Danio rerio: one gene and its partner. The protein of the gene in region 1 binds, or shares a complex with, the protein of each later gene. Links are inferred from orthologs where the notes say so. Each region holds a gene or a part of one and is shown in the gene's direction. Other genes may lie near its edges.

Region 1 (4,212 bases):
ACATCAGATGCTATAGTATTCGCTAAGGACAGTTTTTTTGATGGCATGTTTGCCCTAGACTAACCAAAACATGCTGTAATGTACTCTATTAAATAATTTATTTGGATCTTAAATGAAAATTAATTTTAATTTCATGCATTTTTCCACTCAAAGCAGTAATCCCCCATGGTCTTCTCCCAATGTATAGGCAAAGAGTGCAAATAAAATAAAATTAAGAAAAATAAAAAAAGTGGACATCATAAGTGCATTCGCAGAGCCCAGAGTTTCCACTTTATGCAAGAACAAATATTTAATTATCCATTTAGTAACATTTTACGATTATCAAGCAAATAATCAGATTATCAGATTTATCCCAAATCTCAGCACAATTCAAACCTTTCAAGCATTTTAAGCAATACCTGCACCAGTAAGAGCTCTGTTAAATGTGTTTGCAGCTTATTATAGCAAATATTATTACTAAAACTTCAACATTATTTATATAAGTGTGTGTTTTACCAGGTCTGTCCCGTCCTGCGTCCATTAGGAAAGTGTGGAGGTAATTAGACTCAGCTTGTATTTATGGCTGAGCATGATTAGCTCATTAGCTCTTCAGGCTTTTGGGAAAAGGGGATCTTTTCAGTGGATAAATACTCTAAACACGTCTATAATCACAATGCTTGATCATATCTATATTTCAATGCAGATGAAAAACCAAATAATAAGATTTGGGTTTAGTAATTAATTACTAGCTCTGAGTTTTATCGCCATTTTGTAAAACAAAAATCGCTATCTGAATGAATCTTCCGGTACATATTCATAATTTTACCAACACTCATTTTATACTTTAATGTCATACTTTAAACGTTTAATGTTTAATTATGACATGTCAAATCGTGTTTTTACGACTTTTAGTTGTTAAGTTTTTTAAACGGAATGTCAGAAATACGAGTAAAGGACTATTGAATGGGCAGTTCACGCAAAATCATCGTTTATCTCCCTTAAACTGGATCCAAGTTTCTTCTGTCGAACACAAAAGCAGAAAACCTGTAACCAATGACTCATATAGTATTTGTTTATCCTATATGGAAGTCATAATATCTTCTTTTGTGTTCAACAGAACTAATAAAAGGTTATAAACCATCTGAGGTTGAGTACATTTTCATTTTGGGGTGAACTAGCCTAACGTTACATCCTCAAGGCTAACTTCTATATTAGCCTCACATTAGGCTCACAATACTCGTTATATTGTTAACTTTGGGGCTAACATATAATTTAGTCTTAAGGATGTAGGCTACTAAAGGGATAAATCTATAATACATAAAAATACATTTACGTGTGTATACTTTGACCAAATGCGCGTCCGTGTGTGTTTCGCGCGCGCACGCATTTGTGCGTGACGTTCAGCCTGTGTTGGCTTTACGTCACTCGCGGGAATGGACGAGAAAAAGAAGCGCGAGATAGGAACTTGGGCGCGCAGCAGTGGATGTTTAGCTGCGAGCTCCTGTGCGCTTTTCAATGAAACTCTTTACTTAATTTGATCGACTGTCTAATTAGCATCACACATGAGTTTATGCGTGTGTTCTAGACTCAGAGTGTCCTCATAAAGGTCTGTATTATTGGCGTATTTTGATCAAACATCAGGGAAATGTCTTGGTGGGCGCGCGGGTAAGTACACTAAGTTTATTATTCGTACATGTTTATTGTTCATCTGTAATGGAGATTCACTTTAGGGCTAAAAATGAGACTTAGAAATGTATTCTGCCTGTGCATGTGGTGATTGTTGACAATAAGTTTGTGAATGATCCATTGAACCCCGCCTAATAGCACAAAGAGAGCTGATAAACGCGGAACTACTATAATATTAGCATAATAAAGATTTGCACAAAGTCAGATTTACAATGTTAGTCAGCATCACACACTGTTATAAGTTGTACATTTAGCTTTAAGACCGAGAAAAGTGCTTTATACTTTGATGACAAGCGTTGTTAATGTTAGCTGAGCTGCTAATAGCTCGAGATATTAGCTCTGAATGTGTATTGTATTTTAATGTAATTATTGAGCACATTTAGGGGGGTTAAAGTATTATTTTCTGAACTTTTCTGCAGTAAAAGTGTTGTTTTTTTCCCTTTGGTGTTAATAGACATTGCTTAGCAAACACAAGGCCCTGATAAATGGTGTCAGACAGTGTTTGCTGATCTGCGGTCAGTGTTGTTTAACGTGTATGTGTATGTGTGTGTGTTACAGTGAGGATGAGGAGGAGGCCTTATGCCAGGACACAGACTCTGATGTAGCTGACCAGAGAGATTGTGGGAAGGTGAAAGTCAAGTGGACACAAGAGGAGGTAAACACAATTCTCTAATTGCAGAATCTAAACAATATTGGGGTGAAGTTATTTTTGAGGTTTCATATTCACACATTCGTATAGAGGTAAAGTTGGTTTAATATTCGGATTTTCTGACGTTCTCCTTAATAATATCATTTCAGAAAAGTGTTCTTTGCAAATTATAAATAGGAAAATCATATTAGCAGCCAATGCTTATCATAGTTTACAGTCAGTTAAATAGTGCTAATGTTGTTTTGAACTCATACTTGCATGCTAATTCTGATAGAATATTTAAAAAAAAGCGTAGTAAACAATATAGAGACAGTTAAATTAACGAATGTGCGATTTATAAAACCAACTTTACCTCAATTACTTTCCTTTAGTGATAGCTTGTGACATGCTTCCGATAAGTTCCCATGGTACTTTGAATATTCAGCCTGAAATCAGATGTAAATGTGACTTCAAAATAACATTAGCACTATTTATTTGACTTTTAATAATGTTGTACTTTGATAGTCACTCGCTGCTTATAAGATTTGTATCATTTAGAATTAGCAAAGAACACTTTTCTGAAATTATATTAATAAGGAGAAAGTCAGAATTTGTGAATATAAAGCCAACTTTACCTCAGCAGCAAATGACTATCAAAGTACAACATTGTTTACAGTCAAATAAATAGTGCTAATGTTGTTTTAAACTCATGTTTACATCTGATTTCAGACTGAATATCCAAAGTACCATGATAAACCACATAGGGAGCATGTCATAAGTTGTCACTGAAAAAATGAGCAACTATATATAAAGCCAACTTTACCTCACTTAAAACAGTCACTTAATAGTATCTTTAATGTTTTTCACATCAATAAATAGTGTGTTTTTGTTGTTGTTTTTTTCTTAAATTGTGACTTATTGTTACAGTCTTAAAGATGGTCAGTCAAGGGGAAGGAGAGTAACATTAATTTTGGGTGAAACATGAGCAAACACAATATTTACAAGTGAGGGACAAAATGCCAAGACTAACTAAATGCAATAAAGTGAGTTTATTTACAAATATAGTGATAATAATAAATGCAAAATTATGGATATTTAAACAATAATAAATATTTACAAAAATATATTCACAATTGCAGTCAACAAATGTTTGAACCGATAGATGAGAGAATTGGAGAGATGAGACGTGGGTGGCGTCCAAACAGTAGAAATAAATAAAACAAAACAATACTTTCTACTGGCCCAACCAACTATCCCCCCCAAAAAATATATCAGTTATTGAAAAGAAAATCCTTTACGCAGAGTATACACATCATGTCACATCATGTTCATGTCTGGATAGACACTCGTACACTTCGGCCAATGTAGTTCATCAATTCCTCTATAGCACATGTGTTTGGACTGTAGGGGAAACCGGAGCACCTGGAGGAAACCCACACTAACATGGGGAGAACATGCAAACTCCACACAGAACCGCCTACTGACCCAGCCGGGACTCATACTTTTATTAATTAGACTAAATGATTGTATGAGACTCTTTTCAGTGTTGATGTTTTTTGTACAATGAATGTTTATGAAGAAACTGATATGATTGCTTGTTATATATTGTATTTTTAGTTTAGGTTTTGTCATGAATGCTGCTGATATGGCATTAAAACATAAATAAATATTGCATATCTCTAATTTCATGTTCATTGGCATATCCCAGGATGATAAGCTGCGTAAACTGGTGCTGAATGTTGGATCAAATGACTGGAAATACATCGCTGGATTTTTACCTGTAAGTGTGTTTATCATGCATTCAGAAAACGCACATCAGATGTTATTTATGCTTTGATCTATTGAACATTTGAGTGTCTGATTAAAGTTGAAATGCTGTAAGAGTGTGTTTGTTGTTGAAGAATCGATCGGAGCATCAG
Region 2 (4,218 bases), on another chromosome or scaffold:
GAAGCTGTTTTATTTTCGGGGGGTGGTATTTGATTGCAAAAATGTCCTAATACAACTAAATACAAGTAAATAAAATCATACTAAAAAAATTTAATAAAATCAGGGTTTACCACTTTTGATAAATAAAATTCACTACAATAACCTTTTTTGGTCAAAAAATATAATAAAATATTTTTTTTTAATGTGTTTTTTATTATTAAATATTTATTCCAATCATTCAAAACTGAGGGACAGATGAGTTTTCGCATTGATCCCAGGGGCCAGCCTGATCACCCGCTAGTGACCTACACCTGCAGCTTCTCTGCGATGGACATCCAGCGTTCTCAAGCCCCGGTACCTAGCATGCAGCTCTGCACAAGAAGTTTGGCCAGAGGAGAAATAGTCATGCTCAACTGAGCCTGGTTTCTCTCAAGATTATTTTCCTTCACTTTCATCAATTGGTGAAGTTTGGTTTCTCGCCACTGGCTTGCTTGATTTGGGACTTGCGGAGATATGGATCAATGGATTTGCTCTTTAGTGTTTGGACTTTCAGCAGTGAAAAATTTAACCACACTGAGCTGAACTGAACTTCTACTCTGAAAACTGGACTGACACATTTTTAATTCACTAGAACTTCTACATTAAGCTGCTTTGATACAATGCACATCATAAAAGTGCTATAGAAATAAACAAGTTTTCAGCATTAGCATACTTCTGTGTTCGAAGTCACATGATTTTCCTTAAACTATTGTAATTCTGCTAATTTGAATTGAGATTATTTTTTCATAATATTGATGACATTTGAACTGTATGGTATTTTGTGGAATCTTGTGTATTTCAGGATCCCTTGATGAATGGGAATGTCAAAAGAACAGCATTTAGTTTAACTCAGATGACTCAATTTTGTTGAACAAACGTTGATGGGAAAATAAAATGTTAATAATATACTAATTTGTAGTGAAATGTGTACAAACACATGCTAAATGAACATGATTATTATATAATACTTGTTTTAAAATGTTAAATGCAGTACAATTAGTTTGTCATTCTGCAACTTGGCGTTTGTTTAATAAAATTGTAGTTAGTGTAAATATGTAATGCATCTAAAATATTTAATACATAAATATACAGTTTACACCTTGTTTATGTTCTTTTTGTTTGTTTGTTGGTGATCCTGAGATCCTTTAACGGGCCCTGTGTCTCATAGGAGTCACTGAACCACAGCTGAAGCCTGGTCCCGACGACATCTTTTAACTTGTTTTGTACGGCTTGGAACTACAAGAAACTTTCTCAAATGAATCTAATTTACCTCATGGGTCGTAATTTGTTTTTAAGAATCATATTTATGTACAGCAAACACATTTAATGTAAAATGTTTTGTTAGTTAGCGAGCGCTGTGGTGTGTTTGAACTGCCCTCTCTGTCCCACAATGCATCTCGGCACTCGGCCTTTGAAAAACCGGCGCGGCTAATTCAAGATGGCGGAGCTCGAGCAGCTGTTAGACGAGAGTGAGTAATAAAACTAACTCCTCGCTAAACCTTGAAAAATCCCCCTCTGAGTGTTTGTGCGGTTTAAAACGTTTCATAAGGCGTGCTATTCGCCGTACATTTCACGTGTCTTTCATTGTTTTGACTGGTGTTAAAATAGACGCAAAGTTATTAGCGCTGAGGCTAACAAGCTAACAGTTAGCTTTCAAAGCCTACTACTATAAATAAATATCGCACCTGAAGAGTTTTTCGCCTTAAAGTTTCGTTATGGTGCTTTGTTTATAATCAAAATTAATTTAATTACTGGTTTGCGGTTTCGCAGTGGTTATACTATGAAAAGGGTTTAACTTTTATACATTTACAGGGTCGTAACTCGATGACAGCTGCTGGGTTTTGTTGTTCTTGTCAGTGTCAGTTTATTTGTGTACTAAAACACTGTCCGTATGATAAACACATACTTTTAATATGCTGAAACACTCTTCAGGTGTGAAAATGCGCTCTTTGTATGATGCAGTACTTGTGTCTGGATAATTCTCATTCATCACAATAATTCACAGTGATTTTTTTCTTTCGGTCTTACCGAAAGCTTTGTTTTGATTGTATTAATAGGGATAATTGCGTAATCCGTCGTCTGTTATCTTGCTTGATAATTATTACTTTTAATATTTGAGCAGCTTATAATTGCAGAAAGATTATTATTTATTTCTAGCTTTGCTTTATTTAAAGTATCAAAACAATAAAAACATATTACAGCTTTTTTCACTGAACAATAAAACGTCCTGCTAAATTTTAAGCATAAAAAAGGCTATCATACATTTTTACAAGGATTATCAGAAGTAAACCACTAAAATCTTATTGGTGTAACAATAGTTTATCTCATCAGGCTTAGATCAAGAATCATATGATGTCATTATTCAAGAACAATTTAAGAATGGCTGTGCAGCTCTTTTAAATACTAATTTTCATTTTAAATCTTTATATTTTTAGTTTTATTTTATTTCAAACCACATTGTTTGATCAACAGAAGGTTCAAAACATTCTACAATGAAATGAAATTAAGTTTAATAGCACATCATTTTATGAGTACAGGTCAGAATGTTGTGTTAAATTTAATAAAATGTAAAAAGGGCATTAATAAAAAAGGGCATTATTTCCAGCTGCAACCCATCACTGGGAAGCACCCATACACACTCATTCACACACATACACTACGAACAATTCAAGGTCACCCAATTCACCTATAGCGCATGTCTTCGGAGTTGTAGGGTAAAACGGAGCACCCGGAGGAAACCCACGCGAACACTGGGAGAACATGCAAACTCCACACAGAAATGCCAACTGATCCAGCCAAGGCTCGAACCAGCAACCTTTTTGCTGTGAGGCCTATTTTTCATTTTAAATCTTTATATTGTAACTTTTTAATTTCAAACCACATTTTTTTTGTCAACAGAAAGTTTAAAATAATCTAAAATTAAATGAAATTAAGTTTGATAGCACATAATTTTATAAGTACCGGTCAGAATGTAGTATGATATTTAATTAGAACTTAAAAATGCCTCTTAAAGTAGACCATTATTTCAACCATATTTTGATATTTTATTACTTAAGTTATTTAAAGCATTAAAGTCAATGCTTTTCTTCTATTTATATAAGTCAGTTAGGGTTGTTTTATTTTTACAATAAGTAGTGTTGTAAAAACTGACAGTCGTATTCTTTTTTTAAATCTTCTTTTAGTAGAATTTTTCTTACAGTAGTCAAAGTCAGCTTTGTTGTCAATTCAACCACATGTACAGGACATATAGAGAATTAATATTGCGTTACTCTCAGACCCCTGGTGCCTAACATATAATATTTATACAAAAAGTATAATTTTAGAAAGAAAATACAATAAATACAATTGCTCATTTAAAATCTGAAAATATAAGTAAAAATAAAAATTTGTAAACAACACAATTACACTTAAGGGCACATGAGTTGTGCAGATGCAAAACAGTATACTGTGCAAAAAGTATGTATAATAAAAAACATAATAATACAATACAAGATGTTTTTATAAAGCAATTTAAAAACAACCAATGTTGTCAAAAGTGCTGTATATAGGATTACTAAAGACAGAGATGAGAATAAAGTGGAAATTGAAACAATTAATAAATAAAAGCAATAAAAAGCATCAAGGAGTATTAAAAAATATAGATAGGAGCAATTGCAAATGCTTGATCACCTCGTTTTGTTAAAGCATGTTTATGAAGTTGATCATCTAACATCACTAAGTTAAAAATAAAAACATTTCAAGCTTTCCTATTTCTGGGTTGCAGCTGAAAGGGCATCCAGTTTGTAAAACATATGCCGGAATAGTTGGCGGTTCATTCCGCTGTGGCGACCCCTGATAAATAAGGGAGTAAACCGAAGGAAAATAAATAAATGAATAAAAGAAGCGTAAATTCTTTTGTTTTTTGTTGTTGTTTTTTTTTAAAGCAACTTTAAATGTAAAACACAAGTGTAACCACCACTTTATATTGCCTTGGGGCTGAACTATTGTAATACCATGCACTAAAACCACCTTTAATCTGCCTGATAATCGGACTTTACTTCAGTGTTGCATTAATTGATTTTCAAGATTTGTTTTTGTTTGGACTTCTTAATCATATGTTGCTTTTGAAACTGTAATGTATTGTAATATATCAAACTCTTTGTTCTCTTCGCCTTCAGGCTCTTCAGCTAAAGCCCTTGTTAGTTTAAGAGGTACGTTTTT

The links. Proteins that work in one complex are often made in the same cells at the same time.
Region 2: the proteins of mybl2b (region 1) and lin9 are in contact, whole or in part, in a crystal structure (PDB 6C48), measured with the Homo sapiens proteins. The link is inferred for Danio rerio from reciprocal best matches to the Homo sapiens genes MYBL2 and LIN9. Residues at the interface, in NP_002457.1 of Homo sapiens: Trp663, Ala667, Cys668, Gly669, Gln674, Met677, Gln678, Ala681, Arg682, Leu684, Leu685, Arg687; in NP_001353174.1 of Homo sapiens: Lys356, Gln385, Arg386, Tyr388, Ala389, Thr390, Val392, Leu393, Leu395, Glu396, Asn399, Leu402, Asn403, Leu406.

Annotation. Positions count from the first base shown.
Region 1 is NC_133186.1:1,629,098-1,633,309, forward strand, and holds the start of mybl2b (v-myb avian myeloblastosis viral oncogene homolog-like 2b), read left to right. Parts: upstream 1-1,402; 5' UTR 1,403-1,624; coding exon 1,625-1,644; intron 1,645-2,223; coding exon 2,224-2,320; intron 2,321-4,001; coding exon 4,002-4,073; intron 4,074-4,194; coding exon 4,195-4,212. Other genes in the region: uncharacterized protein si:ch73-303b9.1, read right to left, coding at 496-520. UniProt on the Homo sapiens protein: Transcription factor involved in the regulation of cell survival, proliferation, and differentiation. Transactivates the expression of the CLU gene.
Region 2 is NC_133195.1:46,995,133-46,999,350, forward strand, and holds the start of lin9 (protein lin-9 homolog), read left to right. Parts: upstream 1-1,418; 5' UTR 1,419-1,456; coding exon 1,457-1,487; intron 1,488-4,175; coding exon 4,176-4,208; intron 4,209-4,218. UniProt on the Homo sapiens protein: Acts as a tumor suppressor. Inhibits DNA synthesis. Its ability to inhibit oncogenic transformation is mediated through its association with RB1. Plays a role in the expression of genes required for the G1/S transition.